Caenorhabditis elegans: one gene and its partners. The protein of the gene in region 2 interacts with the protein of the main gene of each other region in a pairwise test. Each region holds a gene or a part of one and is shown on either strand. Other genes may lie near its edges.

The links. Proteins that work in one complex are often made in the same cells at the same time.
Region 1: the proteins of F59C12.3 (region 2) and bbln-1 interact in a two-hybrid assay, tested with the Caenorhabditis elegans proteins (one large-scale study listed by BioGRID).
Region 3: the proteins of F59C12.3 (region 2) and Y54E10BR.2 interact in a two-hybrid assay, tested with the Caenorhabditis elegans proteins (one large-scale study listed by BioGRID).

Annotation. Positions count from the first base shown.
Region 1 is NC_003284.9:3,148,924-3,153,997, forward strand, and holds bbln-1 (Bublin coiled-coil protein), read right to left. Parts: upstream 3,539-5,074; 5' UTR 3,530-3,538; coding exon 3,397-3,529; intron 3,347-3,396; coding exon 3,198-3,346; intron 2,678-3,197; coding exon 2,582-2,677; 3' UTR 2,225-2,581; downstream 1-2,224. UniProt on the Caenorhabditis elegans protein: Dynamic component of the endotube in intestinal cells, interacts with intermediate filament and regulates intestinal lumen morphology.
Region 2 is NC_003284.9:16,601,504-16,612,516, reverse strand, and holds F59C12.3 (Angiomotin_C domain-containing protein), read left to right. Parts: upstream 1-2,992; 5' UTR 2,993-2,997; coding exon 2,998-3,160; intron 3,161-3,210; coding exon 3,211-3,345; intron 3,346-3,412; coding exon 3,413-3,470; intron 3,471-3,640; exon of another isoform or gene 3,641-3,865; intron 3,866-3,977; coding exon 3,978-4,083; intron 4,084-4,127; coding exon 4,128-4,232; intron 4,233-4,277; coding exon 4,278-4,393; intron 4,394-5,150; coding exon 5,151-5,248; intron 5,249-5,367; coding exon 5,368-5,510; intron 5,511-6,461; coding exon 6,462-6,647; intron 6,648-7,149; coding exon 7,150-7,259; intron 7,260-7,360; coding exon 7,361-7,463; intron 7,464-7,714; exon of another isoform or gene 7,715-7,807; intron 7,808-8,013; coding exon 8,014-8,074; intron 8,075-8,208; coding exon 8,209-8,299; intron 8,300-8,365; coding exon 8,366-8,425; intron 8,426-8,702; coding exon 8,703-8,814; 3' UTR 8,815-9,126; downstream 9,127-11,013. Other genes in the region: F59C12.4 (uncharacterized protein), read left to right, coding at 9,895-10,044; cdh-9 (Cadherin domain-containing protein), read right to left, coding at 10,605-10,734.
Region 3 is NC_003279.8:3,031,198-3,036,991, reverse strand, and holds Y54E10BR.2 (ADP-ribosylation factor-related protein 1), read right to left. Parts: upstream 4,054-5,794; 5' UTR 3,987-4,053; coding exon 3,894-3,986; intron 3,838-3,893; coding exon 3,750-3,837; intron 3,697-3,749; coding exon 3,532-3,696; intron 3,463-3,531; coding exon 3,371-3,462; intron 3,306-3,370; coding exon 3,168-3,305; 3' UTR 2,225-3,167; downstream 1-2,224. Other genes in the region: mod-5 (Transporter), read left to right, coding at 1,546-1,754; rpb-7 (DNA-directed RNA polymerase II subunit RPB7), read left to right, coding at 4,054-4,122, 5,130-5,654.

The sequences.
Region 1 (5,074 bases), about 13 Mb from region 2:
AAAAAACTATAGAACGTTTCTAGCGTAAAGTTTTAATTTTCAGATCTACAAATAAACAATCTTTTAAAAAGTCACAAAATTGATTATACTGTTCACAGTTCAGGCAATCATTTTGATAATTATCTTTGACCTGTATTAGGATATCATGTTCCGTGAATATGATAAAATATTTTAGTTTTTGTCCTATCATCATTGATGAATTAACACTACGGGTTTTATCACATGAAAATCAAAGTGCACTGGCCTTCGATCCCCATATTATTATCAAAGAAGCAAATATTGTTGTAAATTCAATTTTCAAGGGTTATCTCATTTGATGAACCTAAGGGTATATGACTTGATGATTTTTTTTTGTGATACAAACCCTGTACTTAACAAGAAACATTATTAGTTACAAAAGGAGTAACGCTTCTGGGTATTTTGAAATTGTAGCCCCAAAACTTGCTCAAATGAACGAATTAACTATATTCTCCAATTTTAATCATTTTGTGTGTTGCAGCGGTTCGAAATTGATTTGTTGTTGTGAACTATTTTTCAAAATTTTTTATAGACTTTTTGGGAAGTTTCACTATGAAATTCGTTCATTTGAGCACTACCAAGCCTTAGTTTTGTGTAGATACCATTTTCATAATTGCCAAAAAAGAAAATCCCATTAAAAAAATCCCACTGATCGTTCAAATCTTCAATCCGCAACTGTTGGCTTCTCGAAGTCTAAGACAATGCTCACAATCGGATTTGTATCAAAGTAAAATAGATTATAGCGGTTTATTTCTGGATGGACTTAGATTCGAAAAAGATTATTCGGCTTGAAACGTGCGGCCCTGTATTGACTGAGAACGATTATCGTCTGCTTTGTTTTAATCATGAGGATTTGGAGTTTATAAGCAATGCAGCTTTCAGAATGAATTGAATTTCTTTTTTTTTTCTTAAAAGAGAAATGTTAGTAAAGGGGGTGAATGTTTTGCTTTTTCCATAACTTTTTGTATATTTTCGCCAAAATTAAAATATTTTCACTTTTTTCTTACACGCTTAATGTAAGGCTAAATAAGTTGTAACACTATACCAATAAACACATAAAACCAGCCTTATCACAAACTCTGAAAAAAAATGGAATGTCTGAGAAAGTTGAGTCATAATATGAAACTAACCAGACAACATCAATCTTTTTTCCTTTTTCACAGGCAATTTTACCAACCAGACATCCAAAAAGGACAAAGTGTCTACTTGAAATATCTACAAAGAAACTTCTAGCGTCCTAGAGATCAACAACTGGATGTTGTAGAAAGCAAATCATTTCTAAAAAACGAACACAAGTTCGGGATATTGTCAACACTTTACCCGTGTACAGGTGTTTTCAGAAGGGCAGATGCCGGTTCTGATATCCACGTGAATTCACCTTTTGGGTGTCAGATGTTTCTTGGAGTGTTTTCTAAACTTACGACATCGTCTAGACAGATTTATTTGTCTTGGATTTATTTTTGCGAAGAAAATTGGAAAAATGTCTGTGGTGTGTAGTGGAGAAGGAGGGAGTACAAACCTGGAAAAGAAAGCAAAAATAATTTTGGAAAGGGAAGTTTGATGATTGTAGAAATTGAATTGAAATTTTCAAACTCAAAAATTTACAGTTCAGGTTCAGTTTTGGTTCATAATTTTCGGAATTAATTATCCTTAACGGTGGAGTAACGCCAGTGGGAAAACTTCTTCACAACATGTCTATGGCTTTACAGTGCCAAAATATCATAGTTTAAAAGCTCAATTGAAAGGCATTTTTTGAAAATTGGAAAAACCTCGGTTTTTGCCAATTTTTTGGAAATCGTCGATCAGAAAACTGTTCCTTTGAATTTTAAAAAACAAACACTGTAGAAATCTGGAAATGGAACAGAGCTATAGTTTTCTCAAAAAGTGTTTCATTCAATTCCACCTTGTTAAGTAAGCTTTAGCTTTAGTTAGCTGAGTAAGCTCTGAGAATTTTTTTGAATTTTTTCCAATCAAGTTTTTTCATTGAGCTTCCAAAGTACATTTATTTTTCACAAATTTGCATGATTATTTTCATTTCAACGCCAAACGATCAGATAAACAAACTTGAATATCAAACTTTTACGGACTACAAATATCACTACGCATTCTTGCGGAAGGATCAAGATATCATAGATCCCTTCCAAGAACAAGAGTTCATTCTGACTCTTATCAATGTGTATACGGCATTGACAACGGTGTTCCTGAACAACAATAACCTTTTATTCTAAACATCATCTCAATGCGGTGCCACATGGAACGCGGCGTTGACTTTATTTCCAAACATATTTGCATTGAATTCGGCGAACGATCAAAGCTTGAAAAGAAAAAGTTAATAGTTAAGTGGTTAAGTGGTGGAGAGCGGGGGACAGGGGACAGGAAAAAAATAAGGAAGTTCGATTAAAAAAAGTGAATGAAAAATATAGAGAACGAGGAACCAAATCATTTTCCAACAGTTCGTATCGAAACAGCTTTAAGGTTAAAAATGTGAATGATTTGAGGATGTTGTTGGTATGAAAGTAATACATTAAATAGTGTACATGTACCAATTGAAAAGCATTCTGGTTTATTTTTCGGTGCGTTTGACAGATTGAACTCTCTTCAGGATGCTGCTCATTTGCTTTTTGAACTCCTCATCTTCAGATTGATTTTGGGACATACGCTGCAAAAAAATACCGGTTACTCATTTTTTTTTTTGCAAAATGTTCTGCGATGTTTAGTTGTTTAACTTTCAAAACTGCAGTTCCCACGGTTTCATTCATTCAAAAAACTTTTTTACTATGTCTAAACTTTCAGGGTGTTTTAGTAAATTTTTGTTATGTTTCACGTGAGAAAATACGTGGCTTTCTAAAATTTGTTTTCGAGGTTTGAAAGTATGGATGTTTGGACTTTAACCCTAAGTTGCAAATGATAAGGGAATGAAAACATTTGATTTAGTGATTGTGCAGTGAATCTTGTAAGATTTGGTCTTACTAAGATTTGATTTTACTTTTGTAAAACTCTTACCCACTTCAAAATAGACACAGAAAAAGTTTTGTCTAAAGTTTTTCAAAAGCTAGGTGAAACTGAATAGTTTAAACTACGTCTTGCGCAACTCTTGCTCAACTCTTGCCAAACTCTTGCAAAAAGCTAGAAGAGCGAAATAGAGGTGCTTTTATCTTTCCAAATTAAAATATTCTTACCTCGTGGAAGCTGCGACGTCTCTTTTCGCGCTCTTCCTTCTGCTGCTTCAACGTCTCCATCATTCTGTCGTTGTGTGCCTTCAGACGCTCTTCCATCTTAGACATGTAGTCATTAAGATGATCAAGCTGGGTGTCCAGCTTGCGAATTTCTGAAAAAAACCAATGCTATAAGTAATCTGAATCTGAGAAGAGTTTTCACCTTCCGTCTCCTCGGTCACTTCTCCTTCGTTGAGTGCCTCAATTCCACGAGCCAACGCAGAATGTGCAGCAGCGTTGACATTGCGGTCGCGCATCTTGACAATAGGCTCTTGCTCTTTCTGCTCAACGACCATTGTGTTCAACTGAAATGAGGAAATGGAGAAAAAGACGATGAATTATGTCGTTGTAGGCGAGCACACATTGACGACAGAATGAGTAACTTATGCAAAGTTTGTAAAAATTAATTAGGTAATTTGGTTGGAGATGGGTGATGATGATGGTGATGATGTAATGCATGTATCAAGATAAAAAATGCAGGAAAAAAAGAGACAACAGCAATATCGAAATTTTATATTGCAATAAGGGGGTCTAATAAAATGGAATGAAGGGTAGGGTAAGGCATATGTCAAGGGTGCTGGTGAACGTTTTTTTTTCTGGGATGCCACCTTTTGAATCCGGTCTTTGGGAGGAGAACTACAACAAACCAGCGAGGACAGGGAGGCAAAGGAGGAAAATGCGACGCCTATGAAAATTGTTATCTTTTCGAATTAGAGTCAACGTAAATGCCACACAGTTCTCCTCACTTTTGATCAAGGCGTAGCAGTTTGAGAATTCAGTGGCCTGGGGTGACAGAAATGAATTATAAATTATGACAAAGTCAAATAAAACTGCCTCCGCAAATCAAAAAAAAAAGAAAGAAAAAGAAACTTAAATTTTGAAACTAAGTACGTATTTGTATTAACACTTGCCTCCTCCTCCTCTTCAATTCACCTATGACTCAAACCGGTAGACATTGGTGAAATAGAAACATTCAACAAATACCTGGAGAAAGCCCCACTAGTTGTGTGATGACTAAACAGCATGAACAATTAGAACGTATAATTTAAGAAAAATAGAAAATCGTACAGTTTCGTTAGAAGAGAAATGACCGACGGCGGGCGTCGCCGAGTTATCAGCCAACAATTACACTTTTGATGGTGATTTAAGATAAGGCGTGGTTATGGAGCCTGTACTGACTGACCTGTGTGTGTTGTACGCTTCACTTTTATAACCCTTTATGCCGATTTCAGTGGTGATAAGGAAGCGTATGGAGAACTGAAGAGATTATGCAAAAGTTTGATGGCGAAAAGAGAATAGGAAGAAAATACTGTTATGGTTTTTACGGTGCAACTGAGACTGAAATTTCAAATTTTGAATCATGTTCAACTCGGTATAATCTGATAATAAGTGCTAGAAAATGTCGTGATTTTATTAAAGTGCAAGAAAAGTAAAGAAGTGTATGATTCTTGATTTCGAAATACTGCCCAAATGCAATGTGTTATTTTTGGGTTTTTTTTCGTTTTCCGCAATTTTTCCACGCTTTGAAATGTATGTTAATATATAATTAATTCACATTTTAGTATTTTAAATTTTAGATTTTAAAAATTCTCGCTATTGTTAAGTTTGAAAAACGACATATTTCATAAAAATGACTACAAATGTGAACAGACCTGGTATAAGTTCACTTCACTTTTAAAAAAGAACTAACGGAGTATTTTCTCGTAATAGTCTCAAAATGCGCTAAGATGAAACAATTTTTTATGAAAATTTCTAGAAAGTTTTTAAAATTTTCTAAAAATCGTTGCAAAGTTTTGAAAAAATTATGCTACTATCCTAAAATTTTCCAACTTTTCCGTCGC
Region 2 (11,013 bases):
GAGAGGGTTTCATGTCGTGTAGAGACGGAGAAACCGCACCGCCGCACACTCACGCGCTCATGCGCTCACCACCGCACTCATAGACACTCATCGACGTGCGCTCGACCACTCACCACCATTTCTCTTCATCTCTGGTGGTTCTCCCCGTATCTAACAGTATATACGTCTGTGTGGCCAGTTCTACACACACACACACATACACACACTACCAATATATTTTCGATATGTGGGATGGACGGGACACACGAGCGAAGATGGACGGGATGAACAGCGGGACGGGCGACATGCCAAACTTGAAACACTTTTTGGTTGGAAATAGATTCGGAGAGAAATTGATTAGGAACTTGTTAATTGAGGATACTAAGGATATTTAACAGAAATTCACCAATTTTCTGAAAATTTGACATTACAGTGGTTTTTCTCTGTTATGAAAAGTTGGCTATATCGTAACTTTTTGTACTTTGTGAAATATTTAAATTCAAACAGGAGATGATAAATCTAAAAAGGAAAAAGATGAAACATTATGTTGAAATTCTTAAGACAGTGTTCATTAATTTGACACGCCAAAACAGCCGAGGCTATCAATTTTTGGTGACTGAATTTTTTCGACCTTGTGTGCCGCCACCGCTCGGGAACCAGAAACTGTGAGTGCTAGACAGTTGAGGGTTTGTTTTCCTTCGCATCAAGTTCACGTGACCCGGTGAGGTGGAAGAGAATTGGGAATGAGAAATCTATACTGTTTTTCACACGGAGAAGAAAACATGAAGAGAAACTTTTGAATAACGAGAAAAATGTTTTTCTTTTTCAAAATTGAAAATAGAAGACAAAAAACAAACACGCTGAGAGAAAAGAGGCAATTAATAAAAGAAAAAACGACCAGTAGAAAAAGCAGGTGTTATTAGGCTCCGGGAGAGAGAAAGGGTCAAGCGGGAAGTGTTGGTAGTGTGGTCCAGCGCGGAACAAGATCGCGAATGCGTGTAGCAATTGGACAGATGGGTCGTCGAGATAGTACGCGTTGCACAGAGATGCCGATGGTGAGCGTAGGGCCCAGCGCACTGCCTCCCACCTATCGTTGATCAATCGATTTCTTACTCGCGTCTCGAGAGGGGCTACTCAATCAACACATTTCTAACACTTGACTAAAAGTTTTACATGGTTTAACTCTTTTCTTTTTTGTTGATAATCTTTTATCAATAGATTTCAAACTTATATGCTATTCATAGTTCATTATTGAAGCTTCTAGTTAATTATTATGACATTGAAATATTTTTTTAATTTGCTATCACAAAGAAAGAAACCAATTGTCACATAGAATCAAAAAATTGGCATTTTCTATTCAATAACCCATATATTAAATCAATAATCACTAACGCATAAAATGATCCTAAAATACTTTTGATGATTTTCAAATGATTTGTTCAAGGAAACTTAAAGCAATTTATGTGAAAATTCGATAAAACTCAGTATCAAAGAAAAAATAAAATAAAACCAAATAAAACTAAATAAAACTAGGTAAAACTAAGTAAGTAAGTAAAATCGAAAAAGATTCTAAAATATTTAAAAAAATCAGAAGTCAAAAATCCAATTCTACAAGATGATAAACCGACGAATTAATTTTTGTTCGTAATTCCTAGAACTACTGTGTTTTTCATTGCAGTATTTCTTGCAATACCATTTTTTGACTGTTTATATTTGAAATTCAATATACAAAACTGGAATTTACGTAGGATTCAAACAAAAATGTGCACATTTAGAAACAAAATTATACGAGCATTTTGAAGACGCTGGGAATCATAGAAGATCCATGAAAAATACCATGGGGTGCAAAATTGATACAAAACATACCATACCTAAAATTATTAAACGAAAAACTACACATTAAATATCAAAATAGTTTTAAAAAAATTCGTCATATAAAACATATTCTCTTTCCTCATATTTTTGTTTCGAAGTTTTTGTTTCTATTGTTTATGTTTTCGGCTAGCTTCATCATATTTTGCTTTTCATCCTGCCCATTTGTTGTTCAGTACACATGATTCAAAAACAAAAAAACTGGAAAAAACAGCAAAAACATAAGTTTCTTCATTTTGGATTTCGACCACGTCAGAGATTAACACGGATAAGCCGCGATAATCAGAACTAAACTAAACGATTTTGGAAAGAAGGTCTTCCACACGAACGCGTGTAATTATATAATTAGGAACTTGCATTTCGGGTCAGGTCACTTGAAACCTTTTAGTGTAGTTTAATCGAAACTGCGTTTGACCGCCCGAGACGGGTTTGTGTTAGTTTTTTGTTGTTGAGTATTTGTGACTTATACCAGAAATTGTCACTTTTAGTTTGGTCTTACAGTTTAGAGTATTGGTATATTATCAAATTAGATTTAATTCAATTTTAAACTAATGAAAATGTTTCTACATTGTATGTATTAGCTCACGAAGTGTCTTCTTATCATTCGTAAAATTTGGGAACATGTTGCACTGGCAACAATATTCATGGTTTAGTTTTGTTTAATTTTTTTCCAGAATACATATAATTTTGTATCATTTTTTCATGTATTCTTGTGGCGTCAATGTGTCTCATTTTGGTTTGATCTACGTAGACCTACAAAAAATGCAGGAGTTCAGACGCAGAGTTCTCAACTGATTTTGCACGGTTAAGAACGCGCTGGCGTCAATTTTTTTTCGATTGAAAAACTCCCGCATTTTTTGTAGATGAAACCGTAATGCCTGACACCGTGGGCCTGACACCACGTTTGTATTTGCATTCAAAATATTCATTCATTCAAGATGTGAAGTTAAAATTCATGTTAGTATTAGCTTCATGTAGTTTAGTTGAAAAATGACCACGTGAGAATTACGTTATTGATTAAATATTTCTAGGTATGATTGCCATATTAGCACCCAAATAAATGTCTAATTTTTCTCACCTATTTTTTTCTCGTTCTACATTCAATCTTGATGATTCACTATTTAATCGAAACTAATCTCAGGGTGAATGAATCGAGGGGACGTGATAGATCCGCGCTCGTCGGATGGCACATCATCGGATCAGCGACGAGTGCATGCAGTGCCACCGACACCCATGTATCAGGGAGAGACGAACATTTTAGACTCACTTCTAAAGGAGGCTCAGTTGAATCCAAGTCTGAAAGCGAGTGGTGAGCAATATCGAACCAGGGGTCCTGCAATTCGAAAAACTATTTTTCAGTGATGAACCACCAGGCTCAAACAAAAAGCAAGGATGACGACGAGAAGCGGTTGCAGAAGATGCTCGAAAAATATCAGCTTGAAATGAACATGCAAAGAGCAAACAGCCGGAAGGATTTACATGGAAGTGCAGGACGTGCGTGTGACATTTTTTGTTTTTTTTCTGTTTTTGGTGGATTGATGAAAATAGTATATTATTTCAGCATCACCTATCAGTCATTCTCAGCCATGTCTTATTGCGAGTGGATCAAGATCGTCAGAGTAAGTATTGGTTTTATGATGTTTTTGAAACGTTATACGGTAAACTGTAAAATTTTTTTTGAATGTATCAATAACTTTATCCACAGTGTTTCCCACTATGCATTAATTTCAGCCACACTTTTTAAATAAGGAAATTTGTAGCATTTTTTTTTTCATTTTATAAAATTATAAAAATCGTAGAAAACATTTTGGTGAATTTAATAAGTAGTAAGTGACGAATACTGAAAAATTGCTAGATTTCTCTCTTTTTTTTTTGTGAATAAAAAATTCAAAAATTATAACAAGAGTTTCATTTTTATATTTAATCACTATATTCGTATGGAAAAACTTTTAAACAACTTCCGCACAGGTTTTTAGCTAAACGATTATCTAAAATTAAAACTTCCTACTTTCAAGTTGCATTTCAAAAAACAAACAAACTTTTTTGACAAACTCAACATTTTTCCTGAGATATTTTTTTTACAAAAAAAAGCTTGACCTTCTTCTTTTAAACATTAATAATTTCAGTATTCCCCCAAATGAATCAAAAATGAGCACATCTGCCTATCAGCGTAGGGCATCTGCATCTGGAGATCAAGCACTTGACGTCCCCACATTGAGCCAAACTAACAGAGTAAGAACTTCAACAAGCAACAGCAAAACAAACAATTATTTTAGGGAGTATCCAGCAACCAGAAGCTCATTCAAATTCTCCGCGAGGAGAATGTGCACTTGAAAAAAGAGCTCGACGCTTTCAAGCGCAGTCTTTCAAAACTACAACAGGTTTGTTGGAAGTTTCAAAATAGTGGGAAACCTAAATGCTTGCAGATTGAATACTCATATGCTCGACTGGAAAAAGAATACGAATACTTGGCAAATGAACGAAAAAAGCAAGAAAATTTAGAGCTGAACGTGATTATTCAATTGGAAAAGTCTGTAAAAAAGTAAGTTGGTTGAAAATCTTGTCGGTAAAAAGAGACAACAATTTTCTGATATTTATATCTAATGAAGGCAATATAAAAAAGTTTCCATTTAAAAATGAATTGAAAACTATTTCACAAAATTCACGAGCAGCACTTTTTTGTTGTTTGGGGCAAACTAGACAAACATTGAACACAACTAATATCATTGAAGTTCACAACAATAATGATTTGATTAAACAAACTTGGGCAAAATACTCTTCGCATTTGGCTCTTGCAACTTGCCCAAGTTTGGCCCAAAAAATCTTAACTTGGCTTAGAAGTTGGCTAAACTTGAGAAAAAGGATTGAGACTGCACCAGAGTTTAACCAAAGCCGAACTCTACTCTTACCCTACTTTAAACCCAACTCTTGCCAAACTTTGGCCCAAACTTTTCTTGTTTCGTTTCAAACTTTGGTAGAAGTCTGGCGAGAGTTGGGTGAAACTTGTGTTGAACTTTGGTGTAATTTTTGCCGAAGTCTTGCCTAACTTTTGGCCAAGTTGCGCCAATCCATGTTGATATTTTGTAGGACAAAGTTGGGCAAGAAGCCAGAACCAAATGCCGAGTAAGCAAAAAAAAGCTTATTTCATACAAAGTTTTACACGGGCATATTTTTCTGAAATTTTACAATATTTTTATTTTAAAAAGTTTATCCAAAAAAAAAACTGACAAGCGGCAATATATCAAACAAACATCCAATCAACAGGAAAATCCATTATCTTCTAAAAATCTTAGTTTCAGACTTACCATCGAAAGAGACGACTTGCAAATGCGGCTGGAAAAAGCAAGTACTGAACCAACGATGGTGGCGAACCTGATGTTAAACGAAATTCAGCAGAGTGAGGAGAAAAAAAGAAATAAATTTGATACAATAGAACTGGAAACAGAGAAGCAGAATGAGAAATATGAAAAAAAAAACGAATAAAATACTTATACAATTGATTTTTTTCCGATTCAGGGCAAGAACTCTTCGCATGCAAAGAGCGGCAAAAAATGGAGATTGAGGCACAGAATCAGACGTTGGAGGAGCAACGAAATCATATTGCAATGCTTGAGAAGGCACTCGCCAATTCACAAGAGAGATTGGCGAAGCGGGAAAAAGTATGGAATATTTGTGGGAGAATGTGCTGAGCGGAATGGATAACATTTCCAATTTATTTATGGGAAAATGGGGGGAGAACAAAAGTATAGGACCACAACAGTGTACTTTTGATAAAAGTGAACAGTTGTTTGGGTATTTTGTGAATATGGAGAATTTCTGAACATATAGACTAAAAATGTTTTCAAATGAACGAAATTCGTAATGAAACTTCTCCAAAAATTTAAAATTTTTTTTTCCTGACTGTTAGCTAAAATCTCTAATTTAGAATATTTTACCGTGTCGCAGTAGTCGGAAATTGAAGTTTTTGAATTATGATCTCACTTCGTTGATTATGGTACATTTAGAGCCCATTGGTGGCCAGGTTTGGTCACCTTTGGCCACTTTTTCGGTTTTTAAGGATTTTGATCAACATGACTTCATAACGAGACAACCCAAAAATAAATAAAAAATTGTCTCACTAGCCGGAAATCAATTTTTACTTGAAATAGATTTTTAACAGTTGTCTCATTTTTTTTGTTTTTGATGAGACACTCCAATTGATATAATAATGAATAAAAGTGAAACGCGAAAAAAATTTGCAAACTGACGTGGGAAAATAAGAAATGAAAAAAAACTTCCATGTGATACAAACAACAATTGAAAACGTGCTGTGTTTAGAAACATTCAGAACTTGTCTATCAATTTTTTTTCTATTTTCAAGGTAATTTTAAAGGCACTCAAATAGTTATGTACCATTACTTTTGCATTCATATTCAAAAAATATTGCGAAATTCAAATTTTAATTTAACTTTGCAATATACCTTGCACTTCCGGACTTCTCTAAAAAATGTTTTTTGCTTTCTTAACTTACATTAAAAATATTTTTTAAAGCTCCCAAATCAAAACTGTTTTCTTGATAGTACGTTATCTTTTTTTTGAAATTAAAATTCAATAAGAAACACTTTTTCTAGAAATGCGAAGAATTGTCCGCTGTAGTGGCACACGCTGATGAGCTGCGAAAGCAACTAAACGAAGTATGGGAAGAACAACATCGGAGGGATCAGATGGTTGAGTCGGAACGGGCTCAGTGGGAAATGGAGAAGACTCAGCTAAGAATGCAATTGAACAAAGACACATCACTCACTGGAAGTCTTAAGGTTTGTCTCGAAACAGGGAGAGAAATAGTAGTAAATGAAAGTAATGTGGGGTGTGCTAGGAAAAGGGGGGGGGGGGGCGACAACATTTGAACCGGTTCCCGATTATGGGGTTAAATGTCCGGTAATGAAAGTTTTATTGATATAGATCAGCACCGGTCTCAGTATTTTTTTTCTGAAAATTAGATGGGACGCCTATAGGTTAGTACATTTGAAAACGTTTGCAGAGGGTCTAAAGAGCGTCATCATTTTTCTAATATATACCATTAAAAAATGGAGAATTAAAAATTTTTCTAGCATCTCATAATTTTTTTACTGGAAATTAAAATTATAAACTATTATTATTAGTTTATCTTCTATAACAATCTTATCCTAGATATTGCCGTCTAAGCCGTCTTTGTACATAGTAGTACATAAGCCCTGAAATAGAACATGCCAGAACATCTATAGAATTACTCATGGAATTACTAACCACTACTCATTTGCATAATCATCAATTTTGCAGCGAACCACTACTCCCGGCAGCACAGAGGATCTTATTCGAATGCGAAAGAGCATTCAATCAAAAGACGACAAGATTCAGCAACTCGAAAGAATGGTGAACGATTTGCGAAAGTTTGTTTTTTTTTCTTTCTCTCTTCTTTTATTCTCTTCGTTTGTTGAAGAACTGAGCCGAAAACGGAAATGGAGAGCAGAATTGAAAAAGCTTTTTTTAGAACTCACGGTGACAAAACTGAGCAACGGAAGTCAACTCTTGCAACAATAACTGACAACTTTGAAACCCAGGTGGACAAATTGAAAGAGGAGAGTTATGAAAAGGTGAGGCAAGAACTGCTGCTAAATTTTTTATACAAAATTTAAAACAAGTGAAAACATTTATAAGGGATCTTTTCAAAAATAGAGACGTTACTTTTCAAGGTTACGTGTTTTCTCACAGAAAATGTTTTCAATAAATTGTTTAAAGTTTCCCAGTTGCCCCTTATACATATTAACATAATTTATTGTTACATATACTATATAGCACTAAATTTTCGGTCATAAACCCAGTTTATAAAAGCCTCAACAACCGCTCTCTTTCGTGTCCTCGGTAGTATAGTGGTGAGTATCCGCGTCTGTCACATGCGAGACCCGGGTTCAATTCCCGGCCGGGGAGAATCTTTTTGCCTAATAACTTTGGGAGTTTAATTCAAGAGAGTAATTTTAGATTGGTATATTTAATTATCGCGCCTAGAATAAATAAAAATGTTTCTGATATTTGATATACTAGAAATGAGCTTTATTTCTATTATAGAGAACATCAGAAAACACACTTTGAAATGAGCTCACAAATTACAACGGGCATATTCGATGAATAATTGATAAATTTTAGGATCTGATCATCAACGAACTGAGGTCGGAGCGGGACAAATATGCAGCAATGGTAGATAAAAGTGAGTATATGAAGCCCTAGTCGGGAAAAAAGAAAGGCAAAGGGGGAAGCGTCGACTGCATTTCTTTTGGCATGTGAAAAGAGCACTCTTCTTCCTCTCTCCTTTTTTTTCTCATTTCTTTTCTTTTTTTCCAGACAGCGGAGACGAGGCACTGAGTAGAATGGAGGAAATTAGACAGAAAATACAGGAAAGGAAGAAAAAAGGTCGAATGGGCGTGACTGGAGGGTAAGACGCAGTTTTATTAATTGCTCAAATAAATCAAATATAATTTCCTTAATTCCCATATTCCAGGCTATCAGAACATGCAAGAACTTCATCGGGCTCGTTGATGCAAAATTCTCTTCATCGGAGGTGAGACAAAAAATTATGAGACCGTTGTTTTTTCTTCCTAGGAAACTTTGCAAAAAGTACTCAAAATTTGAGTTTTCTGAACGAAAGCAAAACTACAGTGAATCTTGAACTTTTCTCTAATTGTAAGTTCCTTTTTAAGTTAGTTTTTGAGTATAAAATTTTCAGTTGAATACTTTCTAGAAACACACATAGGTCAAGCTGAAAATACTAGCTCCAGAATCTATTACGATTCGATAAACATCTTCAAAAGTAACAAACTATACAAAAAAAGTTGCAGATCATCATCTGGATCATCATTCGACCCTGTACCGACTGCTCCAATTCCTTACAATATGTTCAAAAATAGTAACAATAACAAGTCAATACTTGCGGATAACCAATTTTCTTGAATATTCCTCATGCACTAGTCATCGAAATTCTATTTATTATTTACAAACACGCTACCAACAACACACTTTCCTTCTTTGTTACTTTCTGTTACATGCATAATTCAATTTATTTTTCAATTCAAGTTTCCAAAGTCCATTCCTCTTAATACAATTTGTATGTAGTTTTGTTCTTTTAATTTTTAGCCAGTTTAGATGATGTACTTGTATTTTTTCCATCAGCTTCATAAGCTCATTCAAAAAGGCCATGTGTTTTGCTAGTTGCAATATCGTTTTAATAATTGTGATTGAAATGTTTCAAATGAAAATTATTTTCTAACCTTATAAAAATTATCAGATATACTTTTTGCTATATAGAAACTGAAAAAATGACCAGATGTGAACGAAAAGGGCAATGCTAATCGGTTTTAAAAAAATCCAGAAGGATTTCGAAGATGTAATGAAAATATTTTATTGAAAAACAAAACTGATTTGAAATATTTGAATATGTTCAGATATCAGAATTAGTCGAAATTCTGACACTTAAATTTTTGTTATCTAATTGGAAGTTCAGTTTTAATTTAAAAAAGATAGAACATGTTAAAACGGAATAGTGTTTTTAGTTTTTTACAGACTTCTGACATATCAAACAAGTAAAACATGTTTTTTTGATGGAAAAAAAAACTCTTAGCAATTTTTCTGGCTGCAATTTCCTCCAATTCTTTTTTGAACTTTCACATTATACTTTTGAATAAGCAAAATTACCCTTTAACTTAAAAAGTCTGAAAATAAACTAGAAAGAACATCAGTCTGATAAACTTTGGCTGTTCAAATCATTTTGAAACTACCATCACGTGAAAGAGCAGGGTTGATAACATACTTTCCGAAATTTTCGAATAAATCCATGTACAACAAAAAAAGTTATGAACTTCGACCCCTGGAAGTTATTTCTCTTCTTAATATGTAAATCATCACGTGAACTTAATCAGCTATGTTCTATTGTTCTTTCGGCGGGAGGATGGCCGAGTGGATCAAGGCGGCGGTCTTGATTCGGCCACCCGGGGGGTTAATGGTTCGACCCCCACACCCCTAGCCACCCTGTCAATGCCAGAAACACCGGCATTGACAGGCGAAGGAGCAGCTCGTGGATCATTTCACAAACAACCACGGCGGCGAACTTGGGCCGAGAAGGTCAATGAGGATCAGGCCAACTGGAGATCGACAAGCGAGCTGAAATGGATGAATGATAAATGATGTATGTATGACTAAAAATGAATGAATAAAAAAAAAGAAAAAAATACAATTTTGGAATTTTTTGGAAACCAAAAGGCAGACAAAAAACTTTTACATTTATCATTTTCCGTGAAACACAACGCGAAACTTTTGGACTGGATATGCTTACCGTAATATCATCTCAAATATTTCCATAAAATTGAATCTGTATTTTACTTGTGTTCTTCAAACGAAATTAACAGTTGCAAAATTTATATAAATATATTTATTGATCAAAAAGTAATGTGAATATGAGATCAACCCTGTAGTTTTGAAACTGCAAAGCGAAGGTAACATAAGTTAATTGTAAGCAAAACGGTTAGACAAAGGAATGAGCACTTTTGAAGATACAATGAATAGAATATTGTGAGAAAGAAAGTCACCGATATGATTGTGAAAGAGCTGTGAAAGAATTCGACGAGGTTGCGTATTTACAATGACAATTTGCAAAAAAAAATTATTGAAGCGAGGAGCATGTGACCAGTAAGATTGGGGCGTTGAGGGAGATGAACAGATATTTCAGAATTTTTATCGGATACATATTAAAAATAGACAGTAGGCGTTGATCCGTCTGATGTTACGGTGACTGGAACCAAATGGGCACCTTGTGATCTTTTGGGACCCGGTGACTTGGACTCGTAACATCTATCGCGGTCACTGTTCACCACATACCTGAACTATAAATTGTTAACGGTTTTTATCGGGATATGGAATTGTGAAACTTTTAAAATCATTACTGTAGTGCTGGAATAATCAAATACAAAAAAAAAGTTTCAAACAGTTTCTGATTTTTTTACTCCACAATTTACATATTCTAAGTAATATGCTTCAATTCATTGTATATGTCGCTAAAAAATCCAAAGCTGCCAAAACTTCAGTTGGAAAAATTGTGAATGCTTCCAATTTTTCGGAGTGTTTTGTTAAAAATTCACCTATTTTATTGCCTATGCC
Region 3 (5,794 bases), on a different chromosome or scaffold from region 2:
AAAGATCTCGTCCAGTAGAACGTGAAAATGTCAAAAAAATATCGAAAATCTATACAGTTTTTCGAAAAAAATTTTTTAAAAATTTCAGTACTATTGAAATTTTCTTTTTAAAAAAAGTTCACTTTTTGAACATGGGGCCTCGATTTTTTGGTGTTTTTAAAAAGATCTCGTCCAGTAAAACGCAAAAACGTCAAAAAAAAAACGAAATTCTATACAGTTTTTCGAAAAAAAATTTTTTTAAATTTCAGTACTATTGAAATTTTCTTTTTAAAAAAAGTTCACTTTTTGAACATGGAGCCTCGATTTTTTGGTCTTTTTAGAAAGATCTCGTCCAGTAGTACGTGAAAATGTCAAAAAAATATCGAAATTCTATACAGTTTTTCGAAAAAAAATTTTTTTTTAATTTCAGTACTATTGAAATTTTCTTTTTAAAAAAGTTCACTTTTTGAACATGGGGCCTCGATTTTTTGGTGTTTTTAAAAAGATCTCGTCCAGTAAAACGCAAAAACGTCAAAAAAATATCGAAATTCTATAGGAATGTTGGGATTTTCCAGACACGAAAATCTCCGTAGTGCATTTTTTTCACATTTTTCAATTTTTCTCGATTTTTTCGACATGAAAGTTTGTTTTCTTGTACTTTTTCGAAAGCTGGCATCAAGACAAATGCTATGAAGGCATTTTTAATATAAAATTCTATAGGATTTTTTCACTAGATGGAAAAAACTCTTTTTTCGGATTTTCCTCCTCCCAGTTGGCGGTTGAGTGCTGTTTTGCCGCGGTTTTGTGATTTTCTGCAACAAAAAATATATTTTTATCGATAAAAATGAGAAAAAACGAGAAAAAACAAAGATAAATGAGCTTAGCAGCCAAATTAAAAATGTTTATTCGTTCAAAAATCTTAACCATAGGAGGCGGTGGCCTAGCCGGCGCAGCTCTCGCGGCCACGTCTCTTTCGCCGGGCCGTGGTTTTCGCTACGAGATATTTTTCGCGTCAAATATGTTGCGAAATACGCATTCTCAGATTTTTGTGTTTCCGTAATAGAGTTTGAAACAACAGTACACTTCAAAGGCACACACCTTTTCAGAAAACAAAAAATGCTCGTGTCGAGACTCTTTTTCGCCAGTCCCCCACGCGCAAGAAATATTTTTCTTGAAAAAACTAAAATAAAAGACAAAATTGATGTTTTTTTTTAATTCAAAAATTTTTTAAGCTATGGCCTCGCAACGAAAGATATTTGTTAGCTATGCGCCTTTAAATCTACCGTAACCAGAGGAAATTTTTTGCGCTATCATGAAAAAATCATGTGGTGTCAGAGTGTCTTATTTCGGTTTGATCTACGTTGATCTATAAAAATGCGGGAGAAGAGACGCAGACTTCTCAACTGATTTTGCACGGTTAAGAACGTGCTGACGTCACATTTTTTGGGGAAAAAAATGCCGCATTTTTTGTAGATCAAACCGTGATGGGACAGCCTGGCACCACGTGAAAAATATAAGTTTTGCATGAGAATTCAAAGCAATTAGTTTTAAATCCAATATTTCCAGGTTGGTTCCTGAGACTTCTCTCAGTCCTCGCAATTCCTGTCTTCGCAATAATCTACCTGCTCAGCGGTACCGGCACACTTTACGAACGCTTCCGATGGGCAATAACTCCTCAACAACGCCGAAATTCGGCGACTTCTCTCGCCGCTGATCCCACACAAATTATCGATAGTTCTCTTTTAGATCCAATTCATACACTTACTCCAGTTTAGATAATTCTTGGTGTACTGTTGGAAGTCAACGATCGATAGCCGTGCACAGAAAAAAAGGCGGAGCGTAATTTCGCAACCTTGCGGCACGGTTTTTCCACCTATTTTGACGCCCGTTTTATTCTCTTTTTTTTTAAATAAAAACTAAATTGGATAGTCTTTTTATTAAAAAAAAAAGAGAATTCAAATCGAAATTTTATAGAAAAAATCAGCAAAACCGTGCCGCAGGATTGCAAAATTACGCTCTGCCTCTTTTCACGAATCGATCTTTTAATTTCAACAGTTATTATCGATTTATTGATTTTTCTTCCACTTTTTCAAATTTTTAAAATATTTTTCAATTCTCGAACTCGAATTATTTCTGGAGTAGCGTTTTATTTTTCCCGATCTCTTTAACCATCCACGCGGTGCCAATTCCTATTTAATCTCATAACTCACAAGCTTTCGTTTTCTGAAATTTTGTAAATAATCAATTAAAAAAAGAATTTTTATTGCACGATATAAACAAAAATATTTAATACTTAAATACTAATATCATTTTTTTGTGTAATAAGTCAGATCAGCCGAAACCGTATTAAAACATGGTAGAGGGGAAGGGGTTCACTGCAACTTTTCTTAAACGAGGGACGAGGAAATGCGGTTTCTAGGCCATGGCCGAGGATCCGACAAGATTTAGCGGCAATTTATCTTGCTTTGTTTTCCGCTTGTTTTTTTTTTTGTTTTTCACAGTTTTTTTTCCCGTTTTTCCTATTAAAACTGATGGATAAATATTTTTTCGCAGATGCTAGAACAATCGGCAAGAAGCGGTGAAAATGATCAATGTAATATGATGGATTACAGGCATACCAAACCTAAACTTTTTCCGAAACATGATATATATACTGCTTAGATGCTGAAACTACTTGATTTTCATAACGAGACCGCTGAAAAAAAGTTTTGAGATTTTTAAAATTCAACATTTTGTGCGAAAATATCGACTTTTTCACCAAAAAAGTTGAATTTTAAAAATCTCAAAACTTTTTCAGCGGTCTCGTTATGAAAATCAGGTAGTTTCAGCCTCTAAGCAGCATATATTTCATGATTCGGAAAAAGTTTAGGTTTAGTATTCCCGTAATCCATCGCTACACAATTTTTCAGTTGGAAATTGTTCTAGCATCTGCAAAAAATATTTATTCATCAGTGTTAATAAGAAAAAAACGGGAGAAAAATCGGTGAAAAACCAAAGAAAAAACGCGGAAAACAAAGCAAAATAAATTGCCGCTAAATCTTGTCGGATCCCCGGCCGTGGCCTAGAAACCGTATTTCCTCGTCCCTCATTCAAAAAAGTTGCAGTGAGGTTAGGAAATCATCACAGGATTCTTCTATTCATGTCAGTATGCAATAGATTATAATTATTATATACAGCTACCCGAGAGGTTAAAGGTATAATGGCTGGCTAGCCAACGATCGGACGATCCAGTGAACACATCTTTCGATATTTGTTCCTTCTAGCGCCGAAACCGGAAGAACTGCAAGGTCCGAGCGGTGATTGTCGTCTTCGAGCAGCATTCGGACCTGGAAAATATGATTTTAATGCAGGAATTTCGGTTTTTTTTTTCGATTTTTGAGAAAAATCTGACCTCAGCGGCAGCGGCGGCTCCTTCCATTTCACTTTTATTCACCGCTACTAAAACTGGAATATTTTGAACTATTTCGTTGGCCATTACTTCTTCTGAAATATTCGTATTATTATTATTATTTCTGGTATAAATTTGATTTATTTCAATTTCAAACTACTTACTAAACTGAGATGCTACTATTGGGAAGAGATCGCTCCTTGTTGCGTCCACAACAAAAATCATGGCATTTGCATCGTCGTAATATGTCGCCCAGAGTTCTCGTAAACTCTCCTGGCCTCCGAGATCCCAGAAATGAAGACATGTGTTGTTGAGCTCGACATTTCCAGCTGAAAATTGAAAAAAAAAATTTTTTGATTTTTAATTCATTTTAGAGGCTTACTATTCAAACCAACTGTCGCCGTGATTTTTGATGGATTCAGAACCCCGTAGTCCTTTACAAAGTGAGATTTTGTTTGCTCCAGAAACGTCTGAAATCGATAATTTCTGATATTAATCGGTGAGATCTCAAATTCAAGAGACTTACAGTTTTTCCAGCATTATCCAGACCGACTATCACCACATAATAGTCTTTTTTCTTGAAGAATTTCTCCCAGATACCCGCCGAAAGTGTGTACATATGTGAAATATTCGATTTTAAAGAGGAAAAACCGAGCGGAGTTGGCAAAATAAAAGAAAAACGAGATATGCGCCAAGGACGCCTGCTGGCGCATTCTTCGTCTCGTTGGCACGCAACTGGTGCGCTTACGCTTCGTGTACGAAATTTATTTATTTTTCGAATAGATTTTGGTGGATTTTTTCGTTTTTAATTGTTTTTTTTTGGTTTTAAAACTCAATTTTCTTGTTTTACGCAATAAATACTTGATCAGAAATCGATTTTTTGTGTGTAAAATCCAGAATTCGTGCATAAAATTTCTCTAAGGGGGTTTTTAACTTTTAGGAGTAAAGATTCTAGGTATTTTGAATGTATAAGACCGAAATATGCTCAAATAAGCGAATTTTGCAATAAAAATTCTTAAAGAGTGCTCGAACATTTTTTATGTCGGGTAAAATCTCCAATTCTGGCTACTTTCCATGTCGCAGCGATTGGAAGTGGACTTTTTTGGAATTTTCATCTCTTTTTGCATAATTTGATCGATTATCTCACGTTTTTAAGCAATAAAGGATGATAATTTAAAAAAAAGTGAACTTTCCATCGCCGCGACGCGGAAAAGTGGCCAAATTTCGCTATTCCACTCAGTAAACCCGTTCAGAATATACCCAGATTTAAACCGTACAAGCCTATATTATGAAAAATTCTAATTTTGGGCAGATGTAAACCAAGATTGTCTAGATTCAAACATAATTTGCATAGATTGCAAGTTTGAGTAGATGTAAACTGAATTTGTGTAGGTTTGTGTAGATCCAAACCAAATTTGTGCAGATAAATTCACAATATAGGCTTGTACGGTTTTAATTTGGTTTAAATCTGGGTATATTCTGAACGGGCTTACTGAACAAGTGAACTTAGCCGGGTTTTTCGGAATTTTGAGAAATTTCATTACGAAATTCGTCCATTTGAGCACATTTTGGATCTTCAACGTTAAAAATTACTCCTGTTTTAATAGTAAAAATTAAATTTTAAAAAACGATTTTTATGCTTGAAACACAGAGTTTACATGCAAAAATCGATAGAAATTTGAGTTTTAAACCAAAAAAAATCACTAAAAAACCCAGAACCGTTACGATTTCCTCTTTTAAATACAAATTTAAGAACTTTCAGATGTTCTTCCACTTGTCACTCGACCATGAAGTCTGCCTCCATCCGAAATATTTCGGTCCAAACCTGAACGAAACCATCAAAATGAAGCTGTTCAACGAAGTCGAGGGAACGTGCACAGGAAAGTACGGATTCGTCATCGCAGTCACCACAATCGACACGATCGGCCACGGCCTGATCCAGCCTGGCCGTGGATTCGTCATCTACCCGGTCCGTTACAAGGCCATCGTGTTCCGCCCGTTCAAAGGACAAGTCGTCGATGGAGTCGTCACACAGGTCAATAAAGTCGGCATTTTCTGTGATATCGGACCACTTTCATGCTTCATCAGTCGTCATTGTATTCCACCAGACATGGAATTCGATCCGAACAGTGAGAAACCGTGCTACAAGACCAATGATGAGGCGAATGTGATTCGGAATGATGATGAGATCCGTGTGAAGCTCATCGGAACACGTGTCGATGCTAACGACATTTTTGCCATCGGAACCTTGATGGACGATTTTCTCGGACTGTGCCAAGCGGAATGATCTGGTTTTCAACGATTCGCTGTATCATAATTTATCTATCACCACGTTATTTCACAATATTTTAATTTTTACTTTTTTTAAAATCCATCTGTTACGTTTAAACCTTAAAGGATCTCATTTTATTGGTTTTACTTGCTTTT